7 linked regions of the Sus scrofa genome follow. The protein of the gene in region 4 interacts with the protein of the main gene of each other region in a pairwise test. Links are inferred from orthologs where the notes say so. Each region holds a gene or a part of one and is shown on either strand. Other genes may lie near its edges. The genes, in order: C9H11orf57, EAF2, LYAR, BEND7, NIF3L1, MFAP1 and EIF1AD.

Region 1 (4,012 bases), on a different chromosome or scaffold from region 4:
GGGCCGCACAGAGCTGTTTCCCCTCTTTCAGCTGCTGTTGAATGAACTTCTCATAGCTCTCAGGGTTACTTTCAGCCAGATCATCTAGAAGGTTCCAGAGTTGAGTAACTTGGGTGAGCAGACCTTTTGAGGATTTCTCCATGATTGAGATGAATTAGGCCTCTTAAATCTGTGGAAAGACATTTGAGGGAAAAAAGGTCTACTGATTCATTTATTTTTGGGGGGAGGAGGAATACGTCAGGAATTGTTTTGTTGAAGTTAGCAACTATCCTTAATACCTGTGTCTAAAAGACTGTGGCTCAGCACCATTTTATCTTTTCCTTATTCTCTAATTATCTAGTACCACTTCCTACATTCTCAAGATGTTCCCTCAGATAATAAGGCCTTACCTCTGTCTAGAGCCTCAAAAACCCTAAGGGGACAGAGTAATCTTTTAAAGTTTGGATTTCCTGGAATTTTCTTGTTCCAGTATCCTGGTATTAGCTAAGTGGTGCCTATCCAGTTCCTTTATTTGCTAGAGGTGTGCTGTGGATTGAAGGCTACACAAGACTTCCTCAATCTTTGGTATAATCTAGTAGTTAACAGCATGGACTCTGCAGACAGAATGCATAGAATTCCAGTTTTAGCTCTATCCATCACTTACTAGCTGTGTGATTTGAGCATTTAATTTACATACATGTATCAGTTTATTCCCCTCTAAATGAAGACAATAATACCTATCTCGTAGGGTTATCGTGAGGATTAAGTAAGGTAACACAGAGAGGCTGAACACTTGCTAAGCCTTACATAAGAATAGTAATATTCTCTCCATGACTTGAGGTAACCTTCCTCCCTCCTCCTTCCCCTCAATGGAGACGTGTCCCATAGCATCGACAGAATGAGGAAAAGAGTAAGTTTGGGTTGCCTGAACACTACAGGAAGGTTAGACTAAAAGGGAAATGTAACTGTCTTTCCAGAGGTCGGCAAACCCACCTCCTCTCTTGGTTTCCTGACAAACCGCGACGCCTGTTACCGGGGTAACCATCTTGGTACAACATCTAATTGGGTCCGGGAAGCTCCAGGCAGAAAGTTCTTTTTACACCTAGTTCCGGAATCTTCTCCTTCTGGTGCTGGGCTTGCTTTCTGGCTGAGCCCGACCCACTTCTTTTCCAGGAGGGCGCTCACCTCCCTTTCTGCACCTGTTGACCTCTACAGTGTCCTGGAAACCCTCCTGTGGGAGTCTCTGTGACTCCTGTTGGTGGGAAGAATTTCTTAGGGGCACGACTTCCGGCCTGAAAAGGAAGTCGGCTTCCTTCTCCCCCAGATCCCTTCCTCCCCCTGCCCCCGTCACGCGAGGCTGCGGCGCACGGTATGGGTGTGTTTGTGTGTGTTTCTGTGGGGAGGGTGTTTGGAGGGAAGGTTACCGGGAGCTCCGCGGCCGCTGGGGGGCAGGGGTGCCGGTGACGAAGATGGGGGTATTTTCTGTGTCTTCCACTTGGAAGCCTCAATCCCCTCTTCAGCCACTCTAGGTACTTTTTGGGGCCCAGTCGAGGGGCGTCCCCGGCCAAAGCGTCCCCATCCTTTTGGGAAGGCGGAACCCAACCTCGGGGCCGTCCCAGAGGAGCGTGAGCGGGGAGTGCGCTAGCCAACTTGGCCGTCCGGATTCCGAGCCAGAGCAGCCTCCGGCCTCAGTCCGGAGAAAAATCTGCCTGTCGGCCTGGGCTGGGGAGAGGCGGCGGTGGCGAGGCCCACGGGTGAGGGCGGAATAACCGGTGGGAAGGCTGCGTTTTCACGAAGGACTCGGGTGAAGCTGCAGAGCTGCCTTTGAGCCCTGACTCCTTGGCTTCCTGGGTCGGAGGAGATCTTGTAATGGAGTGGTTCTTCGTCTCACACTAACAAGATGCCTGATTTCCTCAGGATCAAGGGGTGAGTGAGCGGTGGGGTGGTTGCACAAAGCCCTTGCTGGCTACACACGTGAATATCCCTGTCCTCTGTTTTTTGGAGGTTTCTGTCCAAAGTAGAATATAAGATACCCTTGAATGGAGAAATTTAGGGCATCTCGGCATTCGATGTTTTTAGACGTCAATTTTTGTTACTGTTGACATTTGTTTCGCTGACATTCTCAAATCTAGGTATTTACTTAATTGCAGACTAATTTTGGGATTCAAAAACTGGTTTCTAATCTAGACCTCGTTTGCCTTGGAATATGTGGCCTGGGGCAAGTTATAGCTTTAAGAGAATTTCACCTACGAAATAGGAATGAAGATACCTGCCTCATCTAAAACAATTACTTTGAGAATTAAATGATGTTCCTCAAAGCACTTAATTTGTGCAGTTTGAAAGAACTCCAGTGGTCATTACCTCCTTTCGTCCTCACATTGGTGTGGTCAGGTGTTTTCCCCTTTAGTGGTGAAGGAAAAACTATTCTGCACGACCTGTGACTTCAGTGATTTTCCCTTTAACTCATGCTTTATTAAAACACAGTAATAAAAATAAGGTAACATAGTGAATTATTATTAAAAGTTACTTATCGATTCATTTCAGATTGAAGAATGTCCCGAGTTCCCTTGGGGAAAGTCCTCCTGAGGAATGTCATCCGGCACACAGATGCTCACAATAAGGTGAGAGGTCCAACCTTGTGATTCCTCTTGCTTAATGAGGGCATACAGTGTGCCGTAAATTATTTTGGTACAGTTGGGAGATACATGATAAATCAAATAGAATTAGAATATAATTTGATAAGTATAATGGAGACATATACAAAGTGCTTTCATGCACTGAGGAAGGAATAATGAAATCTGCCTTGGGGAATTAGGAAAGGCTTCATAGAATGGGTGGTATTTGAGCTTCTGATATTTGAACTGGTTCTTGATGAGCAGGCTCTAGTGTACCAGGTGGAAAACATTATTCAGGGCAGAGGGAAAGTCATGCACTAGCATATACAAGGAGCGTAAAGAACTTGGGGCAAGAGATTGTATGTATCCAGAGAGAAGAGAAGGGGGACCAGGGGCGGGGGGGGGATGGCAGAAGATGAGGTCTGAGTGGTAAATTACAGTTAGATTTTGGTGCTTAGAGATTAGACTTTTTCCTCGAGGCAGAAAAGAAACCATCACATTTTTTGTGTTTGTTTTAATTTGTTATGAGAATTTTTTTTTAAAATGTCTTTTTCTTTTCTTTTTTTGTGTGTTTTTGCCATTTCTTGGGCCGCTCCCGCCACATATGGAGGTTCCCAGGCTAGGGGTTGAATCGGAGCTGTAGCTGCCTGCCTATGCCAGAGCTACAGCAAAGCGGGATCCAAGCTGTGTCTGCAACCTACACCACAGCTCACGGCAATGCCATATCCTTAACCCACTGAGCAAGGCCAGGGATCGAACTTGCAACCTCATGGTTGCTAGTCTGATTTGTTAACCAGTGAGACACGACAGGAACTCCATAAAAATGTCTTTTTCTTTTTACTGCCACAACTGTGCCATGTGGAATTTCCTGGGCTAGGGGTCAGATGGAGCTGCAGCTGCTGGCCTACGCTGCCATAGCAGCACTGGATCCTCAACCCACTGAACAAGGCCAGGGATCAAACTTTCATCCTCAGAGTTCCCGTTGTGGCTCTGATTAACGAATTCGACTGGGAACTATGAGGTTGCGGTTCGATCCCTGGCTTCACTCAGTGACTTAAGGATCTGGTGTTGCCATGAGCTGTGGTGTAGGTCGCAGACGTGGCTTGGATCCCAAGTTGCTGTGGCTGTGGCATAGGCTGGCAGCTGTAGCTCCGATTAGAGCCCCTAGCCTGGGAACCTCCATTTGCTGTGGGTGCAGCCCTAGAAAATACAAAAAAAAAAAAAAGAAAAAACCTTGCATCCTCATGGACACTATGTATGGTTCTTAAGCCACTGAGCCACAATGGGAACTTCTTTAATTTTTTAAAAAAATTTAAAAATTTAAGAAATTTTTAAAAGTATCATTGAGCTACAATGTTGTGTCAGTTTCTGATGTACATCAGTGTTCAGTTTTAGATAAGTGTATTCATATATATTCT
Region 2 (4,232 bases), on a different chromosome or scaffold from region 4:
AAAATAATAATTCCTACCTCCTAGAGTAATTCAAAATTTGGAAGAGAAGGCAGCCACCAAGAATGGTCCTAAAGCGTTGCATGACAGTAAAGTCTCAAAAACAATAACCATTTGGAGAACGTTTACTGGATGCCATGAATTGTTTAAAATGCTTTCAGGCATTAACTAATTTAATCCTCTCAACAACTCTAAGGTGTAAGTACTACCTCTTCCCCTAATTTTAATGACAAACATACTTACTTTGGTTTGCACAAGGTCACAATGTAGAGCATGAAGCTGAGGTTCAAACTCATAAAAGATTCTGGCTCCAGAACTCAGGTGCTTAACTACCACAGGAAACAGCTTTAGTATGCTTAAAAGAGTATAATTTACACAAGCAGATAGGTTGAGGGGGACACATTTATCTACTTGCCTGGAATAATAAATTTGGCAAAGGAATAAGTTAACTAAAGAGTAGTCTGATTATACAATTACCCTGAAAAACCACCAGTGTTATGGCAACCATTTGTAAACTTTCTCTTGAGTGTTTCTCTTCTCATACAGCACTTCTCTCATCTCTACCCTTAAACTCACGAACTTTTGACAGATTAAAAAAAAAAAAAAAGACAAATTATTTTTCAATTATTAATGTTATCACCCTGTAGCCAGAGCAAAAGCTCTGGCCCTGATCTTTTGGGAATCTTGTCTTTCGTGGGGGCCGTGTCGTTACTGCCTGCACGCATCACTGTGAAGAAAATAAACGAAGGCAACCAAATGCAAACCAGCCGCAGGGGATCCTAAATATCTGTAGTTCCTAACTCTGAACTCTTTTTCCACTCCCTCCAACCCCCAACTCCTACTCCCCTCTGGGACCTGACCATTGGGACCCTGCTCTGGAACATAAGGTCAGAAAACTCTTGCTGAGGTAACGGCGTCGCCTCCAGTCAGATCCAAGGACCACGGCTCGGTGGGCACTGGTTCCTTTACTCAGGATTCTAGATCCAGCTTCGGCGCTACCAGGCCTCGGGCACGACGCCGCGCCTGGAGTCCAGGTTCCGCCCCTCCCCCGCCTCAGTTTCCACACCAGATCTCCACAGAAAGGCGTGGAGCAGGCCGATTCTCCTTTTAGAGCTCCTGCAAGTCGGGTCACTTGGCCCATAAGCTTGGAGTCCAGGCCTCCCGGCACCCTGGACATTCTCCTTCCCTAGCCGCCGCCTCACGTAGGCTACCTCGCTCCGTTTCGCGTTCCTCCTCAGCAGCACACAGCTCCTGCCGTGTACCTCAGAACCATAGCCTCCCGGGGCTGCGTGCGTCCCAACGTGAGAAGGGGGAGGGGCTCGGCTGCGGGACCCGGAGCCTCGGGGCCAAGGGGCGGGCACTCCTAAGGCGGCAGCCAATCAACACGCGAGAGGCATCCTGTGGGGGCCACGCTCCCCGGGCGCGGGGCGGAGTCTTTTTTGGCTGCGTAGGCGGCTGCAAGTGCAGATGTTTCAGGCTGAGTTGGCAGCTGGTGGTGAGCGCTGCTGGCGGAGGCAGTTCAGAGACCGAGGAGAATAATGAATGGAGCAGGGAGACCCTCGCGTATTGACAGCCGCGAGCGGGTTCTCAAGTTAGGCGAGAGTTTTGAGAAGCAGCCGCGCTGCGCCTTCCACACTGTGCGCTGTGAGTGAGGACGACCCCGGGGGAAAGGGGGAAGCTCTGGGTATGGGGGTGCGAAAGAACAACCCTCTCCAAGTCGTGTTCGCACAGACTGCTGACTCTGCGGGAGAATGGGGTGCCCAGCGCAGTCCACTGCCATACCCCGAGTCCGGAAGGGTCGGTGCAAGCACCTGGGTGGAGCAGGTGTGGGTAATTCTGGGCAGAGAGATTTAAGTGAGACCAACAGGTAGGAAGGGCCACTTGTGGAGAAAGGCTGCGGGGTGACTATGGATGGAGAGAGACGTAACTGGCGGATCATGCAGAGGTGGAAAGGAAAATTCAGTAGACCCTTGAACAAAGCAGGGAATAGGGGCGTCGACCCCAAGCAGTGCAATATCCACGTATTCCTATCTCTGCCTCAAAAACGAAGGAATTGATACCGGACTCACCTAAGAAGCTGAAACCTTTTGGGTAGAATCAGGACTCTTAACCTAGTTCTTTTAATTACCTGTGTTGTGATCTCTAATCAGACACAAGCATTTCCCCACACTACGTTAAAGATCTGAAGATGAAAATATAAACTATTTATTGAAAAAAAACCCACGTATAACTGGACCTGCGCAGTTCAGACCCGTGTTATTCTAGCGACAACTGTAATAAGGTGACAAATGGAGAGGGCAAGGGCCGAACTATTATTATGCAGGAGGAGGTGAATGCCTTGAGGTTGGTGGGGAAATGTTCTTTCCTGTCTTCATTTTTGATGTCTCTGACTGATGAGGGTGTTATTTAGTGTGTTCCTGGAGAGAGATTCTGGATCATTCTAATAATCTGTGTCTCTTTTGGACCCCCAATTTCATTCAATCAGTTTTCAAATACTATCAAAGTTTTGAAGGGTGTGTTATTAATATACTAGAAAGACATTTACTGCTTATGATTTCTCCTTTTGTTTGTCCTGGGGAAGTAGTTTTGATATACTTCTCTTTCATGTTGTTGAGGTAGAAATTGGAGCTCTTTTACTTTAATAGTTGGATGGTTTAGATTCCAGAAAGGAAAAGATAGTATATTATGATTTGGTATGTAAAACATTCATTCTTTACATAATAGTCCTCATAGAATTACAGAGTGGGAAGGAAACTTTGAGATCATCGAACCATAAACCTCTTATTTTTCTGTGGCAAAATTGTAAAGTAGGTATTTTTTCACTTCCTCTTCCTAGCCCTGCCCTTCCTTAGTCTCATCCCTCCACCTTTCTCATTCTGTCTTTAGACTGTTCAGAGATCTTTGTTGTTGTTGTGCTGTTTTTTTCTGAAGTGTTTCATGTTTCAATTAGAACACTCAATTAAAACTCACGTTTTCCAAGTTTACTTAAGTTATACACAATCTAATTATTACTAACTCACAGTAAAGGTTTGAAGAACCAATAGGTTTAACTCTCTAAGGCTATATTTACATTTTTAAGAGGGGTTTTATTAAGCAGAATTAATATCCAATTGATAGAGTAAACAGAGGAGATATGTGCAGACAGATCTTTGTGTACCTTGTTTATTCTTTATCATAATTTGTGGTCCAAGGCTTACCACAGTGAGACAGCTGTGCAGTTTCTCTGCTTCAGTCCCATTTTCCAAAAGTATGATATAGTTCTTATCTGGTTTCTCCATGCCTTTCTCTCACATAATATCTTCCCTCTCCTTTCCTCTTCTTTCTCAGGTATGCATTAGTCTTAGTATTAGTTTTTTTTTTTTTTTTTAACTACAAGGTTTTAGATTATACAAATTTGCTTGAGAATATTTTTTCATATAACTTGGGTATAAGGTCTCTTTTTAAGGGTGAGCCCCCAAATAAATAAATAACAAACAGCCTTTGAAAAACACTTTATAGGTGCTTCAAGCCTTTTATTTACAAAAATTTCCCAAATGGTGGAATTGTATCTTCAGAATTAGAGAATTGGATGATCCAATTACAAGAATGAAAATAAACAAAACAACAACAATAACCACACTAAACCTAGATGTTTGAACACACTTCTAGTCCTGTGGCAGACATTAGAAAGGTTTTCAACCCTTAGTTTTAGTCTTCTTTTTGAAATAGACAGAACCTTTCTAGATTTATTAAAATAAAACCAGTCATTGTCCTTGAGATTAGGTTCATTTTACCATATGATCCTGACTCTTATGGACTCAGAGTGAGGGATGGTAGATCTGACTTTCATACAGGGCAGGTGAACCTAATTAGTTTTTTATTTTTAAAAAAGTGTACATTTCTAATTGCAAACAAAAGTTTATTTTTATTTTAATTGTCAGCATTACATATAAAGATATATTTTTCCTCACGAAGATTGAAAAATAACTTGTTTCTATTGTTTAAAAATATATTCATGTTTAAGCTTCATAATGAAGTAGAACACAAATACATATATTAATTTCAACTTTTCTATTTACTTTGTAGCTTTAGACAATTCACTTTAAGTTGCTGAGCTCATTTATCTATAATGAAGCAATAAATTCAACCAGTGTATCGTTTTTTATTAAAATTATGAAATGCCCCTAAATTGATAGATATGTGAAAAATACAGTTTTTTCAGTAGCAATTTTACATAATGGTTCCAGCTTTCATTC
Region 3 (3,500 bases), on a different chromosome or scaffold from region 4:
CGACTACAAAAACCATGTGAAATGCATAAGTGAAGATCAGAAGTATGGCGGCAAAGGGTATGAAGGCAAAACCCACAAAGGCGACGCTAAGCAGCAGGCGTGGCTTCAGGTAAGGTCTTTCTAATGCCTCAAGTAGCTTCATCTGTCATCTTCTACTTTCCTTGGAAGCCTAAGAAATGAGGAAAAATGTATCATTTAGAATGGATAAGCAATGAGGTCCTCCTGCATAGCACAGGGAACTATATCCAGTCGCTTGGGATAGACCCTGATGGAAGATGATATAAGAAAAGGAATGTATTGAGTTCCCATTGTGGCTCAGCGGTTAACGAATCTGACTAGGAACCATGAGGTTGCGGGTTCGATCCCTGGCCTTGCTCAGTGGGTTAAGGATCCGGCGTTGCCATGAGCTGTGGTGTGGGTCACAGACACGGCTCAGATCCCGAGTTACTGTGGCTCCGGCGTAGGCCGGCAGCTACAGCTCTGATTAGACCCCTAGTCTGGGAGCCTCCATATGCCGCTGGAGCGGCCCCAGAAAAGGCAAAAAGACAAAAAAAAAGAAAAAAGGAATGTATGTATATGTGTGACTGGATCACTTTGCTGTACAGCAGAAGTTGGCACAACATTGCAAATCAACTATAATTTATCATCCGTGTATCATGCCTCAGGATAGTTCTTTTTTGTTTGTTTGTTTTTTTAGGGCTGAACCCATGGCATATGGAAGTTCCCAGGCTAGGGTCGAATCCAAGCTGCAGCTGGCGGCCTACACCACAGCCACAGCGATGCCAGATCCAAGCCTACGTCTGTGACCTACACCACAGCTCACGGCAACACCGGCTCTTTAACCCACTGAGCAAGGCCAGGGATCGAACCGGAGTCCTCATGGATACTAGTCAGATTCATTTCCACTGCGCCACAATGGGAACTCCCAGGATGGAGTTCTTTATTCCTCTTTCAGTACAGGTGCAGTGTATTTTGTCTTTGTTGCACACGTTTTGCTGATTTCTTGCAAAAATGTTTCCAAATTGTCACTAACTTTCCCTTGGCAATGGAACAGACACTTCTTAATCCGCACCTGCGTCTGATGGCGGTGCACCTTTTATCACTCAAACCCTGTTAATCCGGACGTCTGACAGTCATCAGAATCCGGCAACATAAAGACTTTTCCTAAGTATGAGGAATTTTCCATTTCTAAAACAAAATGAAAACATACAGTGAAAGTGGCGAAAGCAATGAAATCCGTGATTTACTAAGAGGTATAACTTCCAGAATGTTACTTACCATATACAAAATAGTAACTGGAGGAAAGATTCAGAAGGGAAGGCAGGAGAATGAAAAGACAAATGCTATCTGTGTAGAAATTCTGTATTTTTCTGGAAATCAAGCGGTTACTCTGGGGAGCTCCTGTTGTGGCGCCACGGAAAGGAACCCGACGCGTATCCGTGAGCTGTGGAGTAGGTCGCAGACCTGGCTTGGATCCTCTGTGGCTGTGGCTGTGGTGTAGGCCGGCAGCTGCAGCTCCGATTCAACCCCCAGCCTGGGAACTTCCATATGCCTCGGGTGCAGCCCTAAAAAGCAAAAAACAAACAAACAAACCAAACACCACAGTTACTGTCTTTGATGCTAGAGTTCAAAGGTGAATTTTCTGATTCGGACTAGCTTACTGAGTTAGCAAACTCCAGGGAGGGAAAAATCTCCTATTCACTAAGGACTGATGGCGCTACTGAATAGCTAAGATATTTAGGCCAGCAGCCACCCGCCCACTTCGGGGCCTTATGTCTCATCTCCCCAAGAACCAGGTGACGTCCTGGGCCCCTGAGCTTGAGGTGTGTACCCGGTGAGTGAGTTCCATCTCTGTTGACATCGCATCTTGAGTGAAATCCCCTAAAGCAGGGATCAGCAAACCCTGGCCCCCGGGTCAGGTCCGGCCCCCTGACCTCTTTGTAAGGTAACGACACATATCCGTCTCCCTTGTAGCCATGGTGTCTGGTGGCACCTTTAGAGCTGCAGGATGGCACTGGGTAGTCAGAACAGAAACTGAATGGTTTGCAAAGCCTCAGGTCTATACAAAGAGGGTTTGCCCAGCCTCACCCTACCCTGCCAGGCTTCAGTAGCTGTGCCACCTGTTAGAGATCGAGGACTTTACGCTGGGCTCTGTCCTGGTCCACCTGTCACTCTCTCCGTTCCCCCGCCACCCGCTCCCTAGCTGGCCTGGCTAACACATGCCTGAGACTGCATGTGGTGTGCTGGGAGCGAAAGGGAGGCCTCTCTGTCCAGCAGAGATGAGGTTGGGTGTTAGTTCTTTCCCTTAAATTCTTAAACTCCTCAACTTTGGGGATTGAGTTTTGGGGTCCTGTCAGTGTTACTTCCTGTTCGCTGAGCATCCTTCCAGATGTCTCGGTGCTTTGCACGCAGAGGGCGGATGGTGGGTCAGGGAGCAGTGGCCTGTTTAGCGTGAATCATGGTGCTCCCCCCCCCAGGCTGGCCAGTGCTCTTCTCTTCTGGTTCTGCAGGAGGATCCAGCCAGAGCTGAGCCAGCCTGACTGCTTCCTTGTTCGTGTTTATCTCATTCTCTTGATTTTCTTGTTCGGCCTGGGTACCTGGAGAAGCTTTGCCTCACACTTTTTTGTGTCCTGTATCAGTTTTTCTGGTCTGTTTACTTGTAGCTTTAGTTCTTCCTGATACAGGGACATTGTCCTGCATTGTGTTTGTTTGGCTGCATTATTTGTCCTTTTGTTGGCTCGTAAGGGACCTTCTTTTTTTCTTTTTTTTTTTTTAAATTTAATTTAATTTTTTTGTCTTTTTAGGACCTCACCGTGGCATATGGAGGTTCCCAGGCTAGGGGTCTAATTGGAGCTGTTGCTGCCGGCCTACACCACAGCCACAGCAACGCGGGATCCAAGCCACATCTGTGACCTACACTACAGCTCACAGTAATGCCAGATCCCCGACCCACTGAGCAGCAAGGCCAGGGACCAAACCCACATCCTCATGGATACAGGTCAGATTTGTTTCTGCTGAGCCATGATGGGAACTCCCTGCAGCTTGATTTTTAAGTGTTGGATTTTGTATCCTGCAACTGCTGAACTTGCCGATTGGCTCTGAAGATGCTTTTTGTGGAATTGTTTGGGTTTTCAGCATACACGACCATGTTGTCTGCAAACAGAAAAATTTACTTCCTTTCTAATGCCTTTATTTCTTGCCTAATTTGTCTGGACTTCCAGTCAGTACTGTATTGAGCTTGCAAACATAGGCATTAATACAAAATTTGGAGTTGGACGAGTGAATCCTCGAGTTTGACTTTGATGAAACTCAGCTGTCAGTTGTATATTGTTTTTATCTTCCTTTTCCGTAGAAAATTAATGAACTAACAAAAAGACCCAATGTCAGCCCCAAAGTGAAGGAACTTTTACAGCAAATCAGTGGCTTTGACAACGTTCCCAGGAAAAAGGCGAAATTTCAGGTGTGTGTTTGATAAGACTCCCTTGAATGGGGAGGGGTGG
Region 4 (4,019 bases):
ACAGCCATTTCCTTTTTTGGGCCTTAGACCTCACAGGACAAGGTCTACAAAACTACTGTCACTTTTGATAAAGTGGCAGATTCCCTGAGGTCATAAATAAGAAAGCAGCCAACACTCCAGAATGAATAAGAGAGACCAATAGGCCAGTCACATGTGGATCAACTTCTAAAGTACAAATGACTGAGTAATCAACACTTCTGGGGGGAAAAAATGTACATAAAGGGGAAAGCCAAACATTTTGAGTACATAAAACTATGTCAGGCCTTTTTCATTCAACAGTATCCAAAGTCGGAGGAAACAGAGAGAAGTAGGTCCTCAAGATGCCTATAATCAACCATTTTGAGACTAACCGAAAGCAGGCTTTATTGAATCTAAATCATAGTTAGCTCAGCTTAGCTGGAAATTGCAATTGCCCTCTAATTTTCATCAGCTTTCATGTGACTTCTCCAGGTTGTTACAACAATCGCCCTGCTCTCTACTCTGATGCCAATGCTAGATAAAACAACAGAGGAACAGAGTGGACAGGTTCCCTGGTTTGCTTTTGACTTCAAGCTGATTCAAAGAGGATATTTAAACAGGATCATCCCAAACTCAATATTAAGACTTGAGACATGACCCCGAGAAAAGGCTACCTGCTTCTAATTTAAGGTGACACGATCCATTGGATAGACCTATTTTTACGTCTGCCCTTAAGTTCTCCTTGTTTTTAAAAAGTCAAATCAGGAAAAATAAAGACTCTAACCAGTCACAGAACAGAGGCAGGACTATTCAACTTTCCCCTTCCCTGGAAACAAAAACAAAAACAAAAACAAAAAAACACCAAACCCCAAGCCCAGAAACTGTGGTATACACCTGTTAAATCGTCAGGGAACGGCTGGATTTTTTTTTTTTTTTTTTAATGATACTTATCCGACTGATAAGTGATCTATTCTAAAACCTTTCCAGCCCAAATCATGTATCCAGAAAAGATGCTGAACGTCAACAATTCTCATTTGGGCTTGGACACCTAATGAGCTTCTTTCTCGATCTTAAAAGAGCCACCATCACCTTTTTTTTTTGTCGTTCTCTCTGGGGGAGGAAAAAACAAACAAACCCCAAACCACCACAACCATTGGTCCGGATTGGTGTCCGAACGGCCTAATGGCAAGGCGTTCACCCCCCACCCCGCAGCCGAGCCACAAGAGTGGAATACCAAAGAAGGCTCTTCGCTCCCCAAGTGTCATTGTTTGCTAATTTCCTGATGTGCCCTCCGACTTGTTTACGCGGAATCATATCCTGCCTCCCCCCCCCCTCCCCGGCACAACTTTCCCCGCCGCCTGGCGGGTGCGGCCGCAGCCCCCTCGGGCGGGGACCCCCGGAGTGACCGCGCGGCCGCGGCGAGGGGCGAGGGGCCGGGGGCTGTTTACGCGGCGCCAGATCCTCCCTCCGCCGCCCGCACGCCCCCCGCCCGGGCCGGCTCGGCCCGGCCCGCCGCTTACCTCGGCTCACCAGTTTGAAGCTCTGCGATTTCCTGCTCCTCTTCCTCTCCGAGAACTCCATGGTGCCGCGGGCAGGCAGGGCAGGGGCTGCGGCCGGGGGCGGCCGGCCGGGCGGAGGGAGGGAGCGGCGGCCGAGGCGGCGGCGGCGGCGCTGGCTCTTGTCACCCGGCAGCGGGAGCGCGGGGACCAAGGTCCGTCTCTTGGATCCGCAGGGGGGAGGCACAGGCGAGGGAAAAACCACTCGAGCCCGCCCGGGGGCTGCGGCCGGCGGGGCTGGGTGGGAGGCGCTCTCCCGGGAGAAGTTGCCCCCTCCTGGCCGCCGCTCAGCGCGCCCCCCGAGCCCGGCTCATCCCCGGCTGCTGGGCGAGACGCCGCCGGAGCCGAACTTTCCGTTGGGGAGCGAGTTGGGGGCGGGGAGGGCGGGCCGGAGCTGCCGGCGCCCTGGGCGCTCGCCGCGGGCCGGCCTGGGCGCAGCTCCGGACGCGGCGGCGGCGGTGGCGGCGGCGAGCGCGGCCCCGGGGACGCGGCCGGCGGGCGGGCGGGCCGAGGGCGGCGGCGGCGGCGGGGTGCTAGCCGGGTCGGGGCGCTGACCGCCCCCGCGGGAGGAGGGGCGCTGCGAGGAGGCGGCGCCGCCGGGACCCCGGGGCCACCTGCTGGCAGAGCGCGGCCGCCGCCACCCACCGGCCTGGCCTCGCGGCGCCCCGAGGAGAAGCCGGAGGCCGCGGCGCAGCGCCCTCGGCCCGGCTGGCCGCCCTGCCAACCCCCGGGGACGGCGGGCCGTGCCCGGCGCGGGGGGTCGGCGAGTCGGGGCGCTGCTGTCGGGGGCTCGGCTCCCTGCCCGGAGCGTGCCCGCCGCTCCCCGGGGCGGATCTCGTTCTCAATAGCCCTGGGTGTCTGAGACCCTCGTGGCCAGCTCACTCCTCGCCTTGAGATTCAGGGTGTCGGAGGGCCAAACTCCCTGGTTTCAGGCAAGTTTGGGGGTGGGGGTGGGGAACCAAACCAAAAACTTACCCATCTGCGCTCTGCAAGGAGGAGAGGTTTTAGAATTTACGGATGAAGCCGAGTATGGAAAAGAGTAAGCTTCAGTTCTTTACCACCCCAGTACAGGAGGGTTGCAAGAAGATCGGGAGTTAGAGTCAAGGAGAGAACTTGGAATGTGGGGCTTGGGAGGGCGGAAGGGGTGAGCCGTGCGACGTCAGTGGGTGCAGGATCGCTCTGCTGACTCTGAGGGAAGAAATGGCCAAGGCAGGTGCCGAGGGCTCTGCCATTTCGTGTAAGAACTCCAGAATAATTGGCAGGAACGCAAAGCTTGTATTCGTTTTATATAATATTCTTTTCTAGGGAGCGAAGAGCGCACTATTGCTTCCTCACACCAACTTCATTGTGCGGATGGAAGAGAATTTTATACCACCTGGGAATGGTAGTACAGAAAGGTGATCTGACAAGCCTAAAAGTACTGCCGTCAAACTGATCATCTCTAGACCAAATACAAAGAGAGAAAAGAGATGGACGACCCATCTAGCCCTGTGACAAATTCAGGTGGCCTCAAAAGAGTACAGAAGAGTGAGGGGAAAGGGTATGTTGATAAATGTGGTAACAGGTTCCACCGTGAGTCTCATTCAAATGGGGGAGACAGCTTCTCAGGATCCACTCTTATTTAAGAGGGACAACTAGGAGGAAGGGGGAAGCGGGAGGCCACCTGCATAAATGCACCTGCACCAGGAAATCAAATTAAGGAACAAGTAACCCACCAAATACTGGAAGCAGAGCCTGGTACACCTTCTGAGGTCTTATGTTAGGTGGTATATATGCAGCAAGTGGGGAGGCTGTTTATATATCCCTGGCTTGGAGATGAGACAGAGGACTGTTCAAACCCTTAAATAAGAGGTTCTGAACCTATTGGGTCACTCTCTCCTCAGAGATTATATGCAGAGCTCAGGGCCTTTGCCCAGAAAACATGTGTAGGACAAACAAAATTTTGTGTAGATTTTTTTGTGTGTGTGTGTGAGTTCTAAAAGGTGGCAGAAAGAGTTAAAGGGATAACAAGGGTTAGTCACCTACCGAATTTGGTTCTCTACCATTTAATACCCCCTCCCCGCCTTAGAACCAAACACCCAAAGATGTTTTGAAGGTGTCTAAAGAAATAAAGAGTATGATTTTGTTCCCTGGGCTGGGACCCTTATTTCTTTCTCGTAATGCCTCTAAAAATATTATTCCAGAAGCCGCAAGGCTGAACACTATACTGATTGAGAAACATTGAGGATCGTTCATGCCTTGGAGCATAAAATGAGATTTTATTATGCTTAAGCTATGATGAAATCATTGAAGGTGCCATACTAAGAAGCAGATCCCTAGGGGGATTTTAACAACTTAGCATTTTCAGTTCAAGAGGGGATATGAATTCTATTTGCTGAAGAAAATATTTTTGATACAGTTATGAAGAAAATTTTTCATTGTAATAATGTTTTAAAATAATGGTCATTTTCCTTGACCCTTCTTCCTGGCTCAATATGAATGGTCTGTGTGCAATTTGGTCTACTG
Region 5 (3,500 bases), on a different chromosome or scaffold from region 4:
AAATGCCTTAACGAGGGCACTGATGAAATCCAGTACATCCGTCCAGTGACCATGTAAAAAGAATGATAGCCTTATATAAACTGATAGGGCAAGGTAGGGCATTGTGAAAAGTGAGAAAATGGAATAGGCTTTGAAATAGTACTTGTAGAGAAATATAAAAGATAAGCGTATAAAAATGATCTGGACGTCAGTGACCAGGCCTAACATCACTCCTTTTTAAACCACTTTCTGGCCTGTCTTTAAGATCCAAGTCCTTGTAAAACCTTATTGGGCTCCACTTGCTCCAAGCACCCACCTCTGTAAGTCTCAAATGATTTGTCATTCCTTTGTGCTCCCATAAGAACCGTAACATGTTTTGTATTTAAACACACTTTTATTATGATTGTTTAATCAGCTGTCTTTCCAAGAGACTGTGTGCTCCTAGAATGTCTTTGTCAGGTTTGCATCCCACAAAATTTTAGCCTGGAGTTGGCTATAGTAAGCTCACAGTACGCTTGTTTTAGTGACCTTAGCATTTGCTATTTGTCTGTAGATTTGTTGTCTAAGACTGATAATGGACAGTTGTTCTGATTTCTGTTTCTCGTTAGCCTCTGCTTCTGCATACTGGAATGGGACGGTTATGCACACTGGATGAATCCGTCTCCTTGGAAACCATGATCGAGCGCATCAAAAAGCACCTAAAACTGTCTCATGTTCGCCTTGCTCTCGGAGTAGGGAAGACCCGAGGTACTTATGTCTCCACTATACCTATCGATAATGTGCAAAAATTGAAATTCCCAGCTCGGTCAGTGTAAATGATAGAAAACTGTGTTCGCAGGAGATGGCTGGTTTACTCTATCAGTCAGAGTGGCCGAGGTCATGCCGCCGTATACATCTCACTGGCCTAAACAAGATTCGTTTCTCAGTCACACTTCACATTCATTTCAGATCAGTAGGGGAAGTCTATTTGTTGTAGACTGGTCACTGTTGCAAAGGGAGGATTTTCAACCATCTCAGTTAAACATTCTAGCCTGGAAATTAGACATATTCTGTTCAGTTTACTATCCAGAGTTAGTCACATTGCCTGACCTAACCCAGGAAGAGAATGCCCTGGAAGAAAGCTGGAAATTGTGATTGCTCTAATTACAATGCAAATCTTAAATTTCATAGTACCAGTGTCATTTTGTAGTGAGGTGCTGCTAAGTCTCTTAGTCTCTGCTCTTTCTCTTGGCTTTTCCCAGTACTTTGGGGAACAAAAGGGACAGACAGAACAGATGTTGGACCCTTGAAGTGAGCCCAGCACTGCCCCAAGGGTTCCCACTTTGGTGGTGGTGAGCAGAGTGCTGTTGTTGTGATTGTGGAATCTAAAGGCCTTGGATTCACGTTTGTTCTGTCTGCTGCATGACTTTGATAGGTTATTTAACCTCTCTGTGTCCTAGTAACCTCATCTCTAAAACTTCAGTAATCATAAAACATAGTTCATCGAAGTGGTGGCATCATCCATGTGACAGGGCACATGACTGGCACACAATTTTTTTTTCTTTTTTTTTTGTCTTTTTGCCATTTCTTAGGCCGCTCCCACGGCATATGGAGGTTCCCAGGCTAGGGTTCAAATTGGAGCTGTAGCTGCCGGCCTACACCACAGCCACAGCAATGTGGGATCCGAGCCACGTCTGCAACCTACACCACAACTCACAGCACCACGGGATCGTTAACCCACTGAGCAAGGGCAGGGATCGAACCCGCAACCTCATGGTTCCTAGTTGGATTCGTTAACCACTGAACCACGATGGGAACTCCTGGCACACATTAATTAAAGTCTAGCTATTGTTAGCTATTGGATAGGTGTTATTATTCCCACTGCATAGGTGAGAAAATTGAGGTTCGGAGAGATAAGTAACTTATCCAAGGTCCAAAGTTGGATCAAACAAGTCATGAGAGTTTGTTTCCAAAGATGGATGGCAGCAATGGGATTGGCCTTCTGACCAGCTCTAGTGCCCTTCTTGAAATACCACTAATGAAGCATCCATTCTATAAACCTAAGTTCTAAACACTTGCTGGATTTTGGCTTGAACATTTGTATTTTACTCCTCAGTGGATGCTTTTTAAAGACAAGTACAGGAGTTCCCGTTGTGGCACAGCAGAAATGAATCCAACTAGGAACCACGAAGTTGTGGGTTCAGTCCCTGGCCTCACTCAGTGGGTTAAGGATCCCGCATTGCCCTGAGCTGTGGTGTAGGTCACAGATACGGCTCAGATCTGGCGTTGCTGTGGCTGTGGTATAGGCTGGCAGCTATAGCTCCGATTAGACCCCTAGCCTGGGAACCTCCATATGACACAAGTGCGGCCCTAAAATGACAAAAGACCAAAAAAATGTCTGTCAGACTCATTAGTAGCATTCTCTAACTAGCCCCTTTAGTTTATCAGCTTCTTCACCTGGGAACTGCCTCCCACTGTTACCTGGAGACCCAGGTGAGGTTGCTTTACTGAGCAGCATTGCAATAAAGCCTGAAGCCTGGTGCAAATAGTGATCAATACGATTCAAATCTGCCTTCTGTGGGCTTGTGCAGCACTGTGTGTCCGAAGGAATAAAAACCCTGCCTTGGGTTAGCTCTGCAGTACCAATAGTCTGTTTGCCTATATGAAGACAAATGTATTATTGTTTAAAACTTAGTAAACAAAATTCATGTACTGGTGATGAGACTGGGAGTGAAATCTGCGTGACATTTAGGATTCTTGTTATAAATTATGTTAAAATGCAGGGGAATTGTAAAGTATTGGCCTCTTGTTTCCTTTCTCTTGAAGAGTCCCCTGTCAAAGTCGTGGCCCTGTGTGCTGGCTCTGGGAGCAGCGTCCTGCAAGGCACAGAGGCTGACCTTTACCTCACAGGTAGGATGGCCTTGGATCTTTTTTCTATCCTTTTCTTCTGCATCCCTTTCCAACTTTAGTTTATTTTTTATAAGTTAAAAAAAATTTAGGTCAGCACCTGACATAAAAATTGATCTAATAAATGTTTTTTGAACTTGAGCTAAATAGGAACTATACCAAAATTGGGGATATACCATATTCTTTGTGGAAGGGAAAAAAAATCATTTAACAATTAGATTATCTAAAAAACTGATGTCCCGCACTTATTTAACCTGTCTTATTCCTTGAACATGATTTCCCTCAGGTTTCTTTTTCTTTTTTTGTCTTTTTAAAAAAAGACACCCATGGCATATGGAGGTTCCCAGGCTAGGTGGTCTAATCAGAGCTGTGGCCGCCGGCCTCCGCCAGAGCCACAGCAACACCAGATCCGAGCCGCATCTGTGACCTACACCATAGCTCTTGGCAATGCCGGATCCTTAACCCACTGAGCAAGGCCAGGGATCAAACCCAAAACCTCATGGTTCCTAGTCGGATTCGTTTCTGCTGTGCCACGACAGGAAATCCTTTTTTTTTTTTTTTTTTTTTTTTTTTTTTTTATTTCTCTCAGATTTCATGTGTAAGTTAATGGGACACTTGTTAATGGTAAACCTTGT
Region 6 (4,273 bases), on a different chromosome or scaffold from region 4:
TGCAGCCTTTTACCTTGACTCCTAGTTCCTTGTAACCCCACCACCAGAAAACTATGCCCTATGGCTACCTTATTATCTTCTCCCTAGGAAAGGAAGCATTTTGATATTTTTTCAAGAGCCAATAACAAGCTGGTTTAATTTCACCCACAAGTTAACTAAGCTGGTTTAAATTTTGCCCACCAGTTAGGATTCTAGTAATGACCTTACAAAGCCCCAACACTGGGAGAAAGTTCTCAATAGCTTCTGTATCACAAAAGCACCAAATGTAAGACTTTAGGGCACTGCATTTAAGAGTTACAGTCATATCAAACTTTTTTTTCTATTCTCTAGATGTCCGTGAGCAGAAACAACTAACTGCCTTCCCATCAGATTTACTCCTTCTGAATAGCACGGTTTTGAAGCTGATAAAATTATAATACAAATTTCTATTTGCTCTATTTTTACAGTCCTTTTCTTTCCAGCTCAAAATTGCTCCTTTGATGGCTTACTTGAGTCATCCATTGTTCCTTAATGGAGATTTGCTCAATTGTATTTCTCCCAGCCTAAGCCCAATTTTAGAACACAGATGAAATAATTTTAGAACGAATCCTTCAAAGCCCTTCAGGAACTTTCACACTCCTCAAATGAAAAATTACTGATAAAATCAAACTTTTCATAGTGTCTAATATATATACCATGCAATTTCTGTACTTCAAGACTTTGCTCATGTGTCCCTTCCCTCCCCACCACAGCAGTTATAAAATCCTTTCTACACTGAATGTGTTTTGACTTTCAATTAGCCTATGTTTTTTACACAGCCCAGCAAGTAAATTGGGATTGTTTCTGATATTACTGTAAAAGCCCTTGAAGACTTCCTAAATAAAATTCAAGTATTTGGAAGACATAAGCCTTTTAACAATGCTCCATACTCCTTAGAGCTAAACGAGGTAAATACAGCAAGTGCTTAATAATTACTTATGGACTTTCATATACAACCATTCCAGCCAAGAATATGTTTTAATAGGCAGTCTCTAGAAAGGAAAGAACTGAAACGCCTAAGAGTGTTTGGATTTCAGGCATTGTTCTAAGCCGTTTAGGGGATTTTTTTTTCCTGCCACTGGTCTAAATTAGCACCACTTGCCCTGACGTAACCCAAAAATATCGCACTACAAACCGCTCGGTCTCATCAAGTGAGAAAATCAGGTGCTATTAGCAGGATTTCTATTTCGATTTAACTCTAATTCTTAGCTTTCAACAATCTGAACACACTGTCCTTCTCTAACTCCTCGGTTTCTTCTTCATCACTTTGCCATTTTCCTCGGCTTCAAACGAACCTAATCAGCGAAACCTTTAATTCGGGTCTTCCGCGGACCTCAGAGTCTTAACCGCAAAGTCCAGAGAGCCATTTCCCGCCAGAAGTGGCGTCCAAATACCGCGAGACTAAGGTCGACAGGGAGTTTATGAGCATGCGCAGTAACAGACTCCACGGACTTTGGCTCCCTGACGTCCTCCACAATCCCACAATCCTCTAGTCGTACATTTCCTGTTTTTCTAGCTCAGCCGTAAGTGGTGTTTCTATCAGTACGCAGCAGTGTCCAGTGGCCTCTGGTGCGGAGGATTTTCTGTTCGTTGACGTTGTACCTGTTCACAGTTTGGAATCAGTCAAGTTTTGGAATCACCGCCGCTGCCATCAAAATGTCGGTCCCAAGCGCACTCATGAAACAACCGCCTATTCAGTCTACGGCTGGGGCCGTCCCGGTTCGCAATGAGAAAGGTACTGTGTTGAGCTGTTTTCCAGTCGGATCTTACTTGTTTCCCTAGCATATTCCAAACCGACCCCGGGCCCACCACCTCAGCCCCAGCGATCCTTAAGACCTTGCCCCCTATTTCTTTCGCCATCAAACTCGCATCCAATCGCGTTGCCTAGAAGGGAAAAAAACACCCACACTATTTCCACCTCATCTTGTTCCTAGAGCCTGTCGGTTCACTCCTACAGCAAGCATCCTCTTCCCTTGGCCTCCACCAATAAACTAGAGTAATAAATAAAGTGAACGCTTGCTGTTTGGAAGGCGTTGTGCGGGATACAATCCCAGTTTTGTTATCCATAATCTGTTTATGCTTTTATAACTCTTACTGTAATTATGTGTCCATCTCTCTCTACTGCATCATAAACTCATAGATTCCTCAAGGCAGGAACCCTCTCTTATTAAACTTTTTAATCCCTTTCAACCAACGCAGTGACTGTATTTGTTAAATTTAATACAGAGACAGTACCCCTAACCTTAAGGAACTCATAGTAGACGTGATTCATGCAAAAAGAGACCTATTCTAAGCAAGTGTGCAGTCTTTCGCACCCCTAATACTGTTACATAGGTGATGTAAACCAAGCGCTTTGAATAATCTCTTCAGACTGGGGTACTCAAGTTGATCTTTAAAGGATAGGTTTGATTCCAGTGAGTGCAGATGGATGAAGCAACACTGTACCTGTTTAGGGAGTCAGACTGAAAAGTCAAGAGTTTTTTCAGTAAGATATTTGGAAAATAATATCACTTCTTTCCTGTTTTTTAAATATAAGGTACTTATCCTTGTGTAACCTGCCTTTTTTTTTTTTTTTCCTTAAACTCTGTGGTTTTTTGATAAGTGCCTTTGGATACATGGAGATCTTATTAATTTAACTGCTTATGAGGTCTATTATATGGAGTTTGTTCCCTGCTGAGGGACAATTAGCTGTTTTGTTACTTTTTTTCCTCTTACACACAGCGCTGCAGTTATCATTCTTTAGTGCACTGCCTTAAGAATTTTAGGGTAGACTCCTAGAAGTTCTTCATCAATTAACTACCTATTGCCATTTGCTCTCCACAGTGGATTGTAAGAGCATTGAAAGTTTTTATTTCCTGTTATATTACCCACAATCTTGGTTGTATGAGATTTTTTTTATTTGCCCGATCTAATGGGTGTGAAACAATAGCACGTTATTTTAATTTGCAATTTCCTGAGTCCAGGATTACTAGGCATCTTGTTTGTGTGTTTATCATCTCTCTAGGTGTTGTCTTCTATGAATTATCTCTTTCAATTACCCATTTTCTATTTAGTTTGTTCTGACACATCCCAAATCTTTTTTTTTTTTTTTTTTTTTTTTTTTTTTTTTTGTCTTTTTGCCTTTTCTAGGGCCACTCCTGTGGCACATGGAGGTTCCCAGCTAGGGGTCCAATAGGAGCTGTAGCCGCCGGCCTATGCCACAGCCACTGCAACTAGGGATCTGAGCCGCGTCTGCGACCTACACCACAGCTCACGGCAATGCCGGATCCTTAACCTACTGAGCAAGGCCAGGGATCGAACCTGAAACCTCATGGTTCCGAGTCAGATTCGTTAGCCACTGTGCCACAATGGGAACTCCCCCAAACTTTAATATCTATTTCCCAGAGTTTTTTGGCTTGTCTTTTAATTATGGAGTCTTCTGTCACACAGGTGTTTTTAGTTTTATTGTTGACAGATTTAACAATTTTGTCTTTTATGTTTTGTGGTGTTTAGTATACTGTTTAAGAAATCCTTGGAGTTTCCTGGTGGCTCAGTAGGTTAAGGATCCAGTATTATCTTGGCTGTGGCTCTGATCCCAGCTGTGGCCCAGTTTCAGTCCCTGGCCCAGGAACGTCCCAATTTAAAAAAAAAAAAAAAAAAAAAAAAAAGTCTTTTGAGTTCCCCTTCCCAATTTAAAAAAAAAAAAAAAAGTCTTTTGAGTAACTTACCCAACCAGAATCCATGAGGACTCGGGTTTGATCCCTGACCCCGCTCAGTGGGTTAAGGATCTGTCATTGCTGTGAGCTGTGGTGTTGATCCCAGATGCAGCTCAGATCCCGTGTTGCTGTGACTGTGGTGTAGCCAGCAGCTGCAGCTCTGATTCAACCCCTGGCCTGGAAACCTCCACATTTCCTTGAGTGCCGCCCTAAAAAGACCAAAAAAAAAAAAAGATTTTTGGTTATCTAAGTGTTTGTATATTCTGAATAGGAAGGATTACACAGTTGTCTAAGACAGACTATAAGTTAAGGAGCTTACAGTCCAGCAGGGATGTAAATGTTTAAGATGTGTTTTTCGTGCATGAGTATTTAGCTTATCTGGAATTGTGTGTGTGTGTGGCATCCATTATAGATCTAATTTTAGTATTTACCTCAGGGCTAGCCAGTTGCCCCAACTACTCCATTGTTTTGCCGTACCCACTGCAAGTTATGCTTATTTGCCATATGTATAACTTCTTTGGTGAGGTATCTGTTAAGGTCATTTTTTTGGTTGGTTGGTT
Region 7 (4,138 bases), on a different chromosome or scaffold from region 4:
AAGTGAGGGTAGGGGTAAGGGCCAGGACCAGGAATTCACTCAGAAAAGCTGGTAATTGCTGACATGAAACTGGCAAGGAAAGGAGAAGGGAGATGCATGCAAGTGTGAGAATTCCAAAAAAGGTGACATGGTGAGGGGAGAGAACTCCCAAAAGATGCTGGAGTACGTTGGAAGTGCACACAACAGCAATCTTTTCCTTTGTAGAGGATGGGGGAGGAGTCCTGGCTTGGCTGCAAACTCTGGAGACTCAATGCTGGGGCTTGGGGTCGGGGGCTCCCCGGAGGGCATCACAAGAAGGCATCACACCACTCCCGGAGGCACCCGAAGCAGTCCCGCGACTGCTTGGCATTGGCGCCACACGTGTCCTTCAGCCATTCCCGGAAGAGGTCTTCATCTTTCTTGAGCACCAGAAACTGGCCAAGGACCACATAGGCCTGCAAGACAGGCAGAGGGAAGGGCATGCTGCTAGGTGCTCTGCGGACCAGGAACGAGGCCCTCAGCCTAGGAAGCAGGGCCGGCTCTGGCTAGCCCTGCAGAATACATGCCACTGCCCACCCCCAACGGGTCCACTCACTCTCCTCCCGCCCCAACTGCCAGGAAAGAGCCCAGCAGGCCATCCTCAGCCCTCCCCAGCTGCACGCAGCCACCCCACACCTTGTCAAAGCCCCTTTCCTCCAGCTTCTTGCCCAGTACGTCACCAATCCCGGCCAGGCTTCCCACTGGCTTTTCCCCCATGGGCTCTGCCACGAAATCTCGGTGCTTTTGGGAAGTTGTCATCTTGATCAAGCTTAACCTGAGAATCCCAAGAAAAGGCAGGTTAGGGCTGAAAACCCGGGAACTCCTGAGGGCCCACTACCAATCTCACAGTTAAGAGGACGCTCGACCAGTCATCGCAGAAGCTTACTCGCTTCTCCCCCCACTTCACGGACGAAAAAAGCGAAGCCTAAGGAGTCTTTTCCTCACTATTCAAAAGAGAAATCTCTTCCACTCCTTGCAGGAGCTGGTTTCGGTACCACCCCAGAGGCAACACTATCTTGCTCTAACAGGTGGCGCACGCAGAGCAGAGTCAAGATTCCAAGAGTCTGTCAGGACCCAGGGCTCGCCCTGAAATTGTCACTCCTCGGTGACCTTGGCTGGGCCCAAGTGGCACTGACCCTGCCTGCAACGGCTACCTGGCCCGTAAAGCAAATGAAGGACTCTGTCCCACCCGGCCCGCCAGCTAATCACAAAGCAGAAGCGAAGCGGCTTCTCCAGCCCGGCGGGCTGCACGCCAGGGCTCCCGCCGCGCCCCACGCCGCCGGCCCCGCCCCCAGCGCGCCGCGCCCCGCCCCCTCCCCGCGCCTCTGCGCTCGCGCGCCGCGCCCCGGCCGATCCCTCTCCGAGGGCGCATCCTCTGGCCCGCCGCAGTGCTTGAGGCGCCTTTCCCCTTCTCTTCCCCGCGCCTCCGCCAGTCTCCAGCTTGGGCCCTGCACCGCGGCTCGCACTCACCCGCAGCTCCGGTTCCCGTAACGGCCTCTCCCGCCACCCGGCCGCTCCTGCGGATGCCTCGACCCGCTAGAACTTTCGCCCCACTTCCGCTTCCGGGTCGCCTCAAGAGCCGCCTTAAAAAAAAACCCAAAATTACATTGGGCACCTCTAGCCGCGTGAAGTCATAGAGTTGAGATTGGGCCGGGGTTGAGGGGGCGGCGCGCCAGCGTGCGTTTAGGAGGCGCTCCTTTCCGGTTGCTTTGCGGGAAGCCGGGCAGCTTTCTGTGGTCTCACTGCTCGGGAAATATTTCCGGTCTGAGGGAGCAGAGGCCTGGGAGGAGAAAACTTTATTTCTCGGCGGCGCGACATTTGGAACTTAAGGATTAAACGTGGCCTACTTGGTGGTGGGAAGAATTAGAGGAGCGGACAAGGAGGGAGGTGTGGCTGGGAGGCTTCCGAGAGAGCGCCGGAAGTAAGGGGTTTCCTCGGGCCGGCGCGTGCTGTCTTCCTCGCCGTCCGGCTTGTAAGAGACTTGAGTCCAAGGGGTCTTCACCGGCGCGACCGCCGGCAAGTCCATTTTCTGTGCGCTCGTTGACTCAGCTACAAAGCGAGTCGTTGACGAGACGTGTTCAGCGTCCAGCCTGGAGAACGGGGTCGTTCCGCTTCAGGCATCGCCCGTGGGATCCGAGGGCCAGAGAGTAAGTTTGGGTTTCTCTCACTGAGCGTCTTTCCTTCGGGGTAGGAAGGGAGGAGGGCAGGCAGGGGACGGCAACTAGAGATGACACTTCGGCGTTTCCTTTGGAAACCGGCCGTCTTCTGTGTGCGCATCAGTCCTCGTCTTCTCAGTACCCAAATCATAAACAGCAGATGCCAAAGACCATGTCGGCCGGCCCTGACCTTAGTTAACTTGTTCCTAACTTGAATTCTTCTCCCTGGTCCATGTCTGTGGTATGTTGAGAGATTGAGCATCTGTTTGTGTGGCTGTGCTACGCTTGGGATGTACAGGCATACCGAAGAAGAGTTTATGTGATTCTTTCTCCCCCTGGTTGCCAGAATGACTTGTTTTCCTGAAACCCGTGTTTAGTTTTTACCGTTGTATTTTTAAATTTGTTTATTTGTTTTGGCCGTGCCTGCAGCACATGGAAGTTCCCGGCTCAGAGATTGATTCTGTGCCACAGCAGCAACCTGAGCCCCTGCAGTGAGAATGCCAGATCCTTAACCTGCTATGCCACAGGAGAACTCTTGTCACACGAGTTGTTTTTACGTGCTTTACAGTGCTAAGTGCTTTGCTTATGCTCATTCTTAGAGCAGTGCTCTAAGTTAGCTATTGTTTTTCTCTGAAGTCTAGAGAAATTGAACAGTCATGAAATACCCAAGGTGGGATTTGAATGCAAGTAGTTCTCCTTAACCTGACACTGTGTCCTCCCCAGTAAAAGGTCCCTCCCCATCTTTAGAATAGTCCTTCTGAGACTGCCATCCAAGAAACTCAGGGAGAGGAGCTGACAGTCTCTGCATCCCTCACCCCCACCCTGGGACAGGACCCAACAACATGTCTCAGGCCACCAAGAGGAAGCACGTGGTGAAGGAGGTGCTGGGGGAGCACATGGTGCCCTCCGACCGGCAGCAGATCGTCAGGGTGAGTGGCACTGGGGTGGGGACAGGGTGACTGTAGCTCAGCAAGGGTTGCAGCTGGCTGATAATGCTGACTGGTACTTGGTCTCTTCTGGACCAGGTGCTCAGGACCCCAGGGAACAATCTGCATGAGGTGGAGACAGCCCAGGGGCAGCACTTCCTGGTGAGCATGCCCTCCAAATACCGCAAGAACATCTGGATCAAGAGAGGTGAGAGAGGCAGCCCTTTAGGAGACCAATTCTGATAGCCTTGGCTTCCCTCTCTGCCAGCAGGGCTGACTTCCCTTTTCCTTTTCTCTGTCTGTAGGGGACTTTCTCATTGTTGACCCTATTGAAGAGGGAGAGAAAGTGAAGGCCGAGATCTCCTTTGTGCTCTGCAGAAATCATGTGCGCGCTCTACAGAAGGAAGGGCTCTGGTAGGGTGAGCCCCTTGGTCACTGGCTGCATGGCTTCTGAGGGACCGACTTCCTAGCACTGGAATTGGGGGGAGGGGAGGTCCCAGTGTCCCAGGCTGGATCAGCTGGAAATAGCTTTTTTGCCCAGAGGTTTCTCTGTCCTTTCTGACCTTGGCTCTTCTCTTGGCACAGGCCACAGGCCTTCTCCGAAGTGGCTGAGAAACACGATGATAACAGTAACAGGTGAGGCACAAGTCTCAGAGCAGGAAGCCAGAAAATGGGGCTTCTGGCTGTGGTGCCCTGAGGGAAAATAGAGCCTTCCTCCCTTCCTATGCAGGGGCCGTGGCAAGCGCTTTTACATATGTGGTTATGCACATGGCTGGAAAGTCATGTCTTCTTCAAATCCTGGCTTTGTCAGTTCTGAGTAACTTTAAGCAGGTTAATCTCTTAAGCCTGATGTCATTGCCTGTAAAAATGGGAGCTTTGTAAGAATTACAGAGGCTGTTGGTTCTAAAAGTGCTTAGTATACTATCTGGTAAGCAACGTGGGTTCATTGAGTGTTAGTTGGAGTTGATATTATTAAAATTAGTAGCTCTAGGAGTTTCTTGGTGGTACAGGAGGTTAAGGATCCAGCGTTGTCACTCT

The links.
Region 1: the proteins of BEND7 (region 4) and C9H11orf57 interact in binary tests that used the Homo sapiens proteins (3 or more experiments, as listed by UniProt). The two-hybrid records come from large-scale screens. The link is inferred for Sus scrofa from reciprocal best matches to the Homo sapiens genes BEND7 and NKAPD1.
Region 2: the proteins of BEND7 (region 4) and EAF2 interact in binary tests that used the Homo sapiens proteins (3 or more experiments, as listed by UniProt). The two-hybrid records come from large-scale screens. The link is inferred for Sus scrofa from reciprocal best matches to the Homo sapiens genes BEND7 and EAF2.
Region 3: the proteins of BEND7 (region 4) and LYAR interact in binary tests that used the Homo sapiens proteins (3 or more experiments, as listed by UniProt). The two-hybrid records come from large-scale screens. The link is inferred for Sus scrofa from reciprocal best matches to the Homo sapiens genes BEND7 and LYAR.
Region 5: the proteins of BEND7 (region 4) and NIF3L1 interact in binary tests that used the Homo sapiens proteins (3 or more experiments, as listed by UniProt). The two-hybrid records come from large-scale screens. The link is inferred for Sus scrofa from reciprocal best matches to the Homo sapiens genes BEND7 and NIF3L1.
Region 6: the proteins of BEND7 (region 4) and MFAP1 interact in binary tests that used the Homo sapiens proteins (3 or more experiments, as listed by UniProt). The two-hybrid records come from large-scale screens. The link is inferred for Sus scrofa from reciprocal best matches to the Homo sapiens genes BEND7 and MFAP1.
Region 7: the proteins of BEND7 (region 4) and EIF1AD interact in binary tests that used the Homo sapiens proteins (3 or more experiments, as listed by UniProt). The two-hybrid records come from large-scale screens. The link is inferred for Sus scrofa from reciprocal best matches to the Homo sapiens genes BEND7 and EIF1AD.

What each region holds. Positions count from the first base shown.
Region 1 is NC_010451.4:39,774,367-39,778,378, forward strand, and holds the start of C9H11orf57 (uncharacterized protein C11orf57 homolog), read left to right. Parts: upstream 1-1,212; 5' UTR 1,213-1,348; exon of another isoform or gene 1,349-1,905; intron 1,906-2,523; 5' UTR 2,524-2,531; coding exon 2,532-2,600; intron 2,601-4,012.
Region 2 is NC_010455.5:138,678,808-138,683,039, reverse strand, and holds the start of EAF2 (ELL-associated factor 2), read left to right. Parts: upstream 1-1,432; 5' UTR 1,433-1,535; coding exon 1,536-1,641; intron 1,642-4,232. UniProt on the Homo sapiens protein: Acts as a transcriptional transactivator of TCEA1 elongation activity. Acts as a transcriptional transactivator of ELL and ELL2 elongation activities. Potent inducer of apoptosis in prostatic and non-prostatic cell lines.
Region 3 is NC_010450.4:6,087,832-6,091,331, forward strand, and holds part of LYAR (cell growth-regulating nucleolar protein), read left to right. Parts: coding exon 1-109; intron 110-3,352; coding exon 3,353-3,460; intron 3,461-3,500. UniProt on the Homo sapiens protein: Plays a role in the maintenance of the appropriate processing of 47S/45S pre-rRNA to 32S/30S pre-rRNAs and their subsequent processing to produce 18S and 28S rRNAs. Also acts at the level of transcription regulation.
Region 4 is NC_010452.4:48,176,375-48,180,393, reverse strand, and holds the start of BEND7 (BEN domain-containing protein 7), read right to left. Parts: upstream 2,801-4,019; 5' UTR 2,490-2,800; intron 1,990-2,489; exon of another isoform or gene 1,678-1,989; 5' UTR 1,540-1,677; coding exon 1,479-1,539; intron 1-1,478.
Region 5 is NC_010457.5:104,597,301-104,600,800, forward strand, and holds part of NIF3L1 (NIF3-like protein 1), read left to right. Parts: intron 1-587; coding exon 588-726; intron 727-2,784; coding exon 2,785-2,868; intron 2,869-3,500. UniProt on the Homo sapiens protein: May function as a transcriptional corepressor through its interaction with COPS2, negatively regulating the expression of genes involved in neuronal differentiation.
Region 6 is NC_010443.5:127,739,934-127,744,206, forward strand, and holds the start of MFAP1 (microfibrillar-associated protein 1), read left to right. Parts: upstream 1-1,473; 5' UTR 1,474-1,674; coding exon 1,675-1,753; intron 1,754-4,273. UniProt on the Homo sapiens protein: Involved in pre-mRNA splicing as a component of the spliceosome.
Region 7 is NC_010444.4:6,333,544-6,337,681, forward strand, and holds the start of EIF1AD (probable RNA-binding protein EIF1AD), read left to right. Parts: upstream 1-1,338; 5' UTR 1,339-2,165; intron 2,166-2,897; exon of another isoform or gene 2,898-2,921; 5' UTR 2,922-3,016; coding exon 3,017-3,103; intron 3,104-3,199; coding exon 3,200-3,308; intron 3,309-3,405; coding exon 3,406-3,514; intron 3,515-3,685; coding exon 3,686-3,736; intron 3,737-4,138. Other genes in the region: BANF1 (barrier-to-autointegration factor), read right to left, coding at 288-434, 655-777.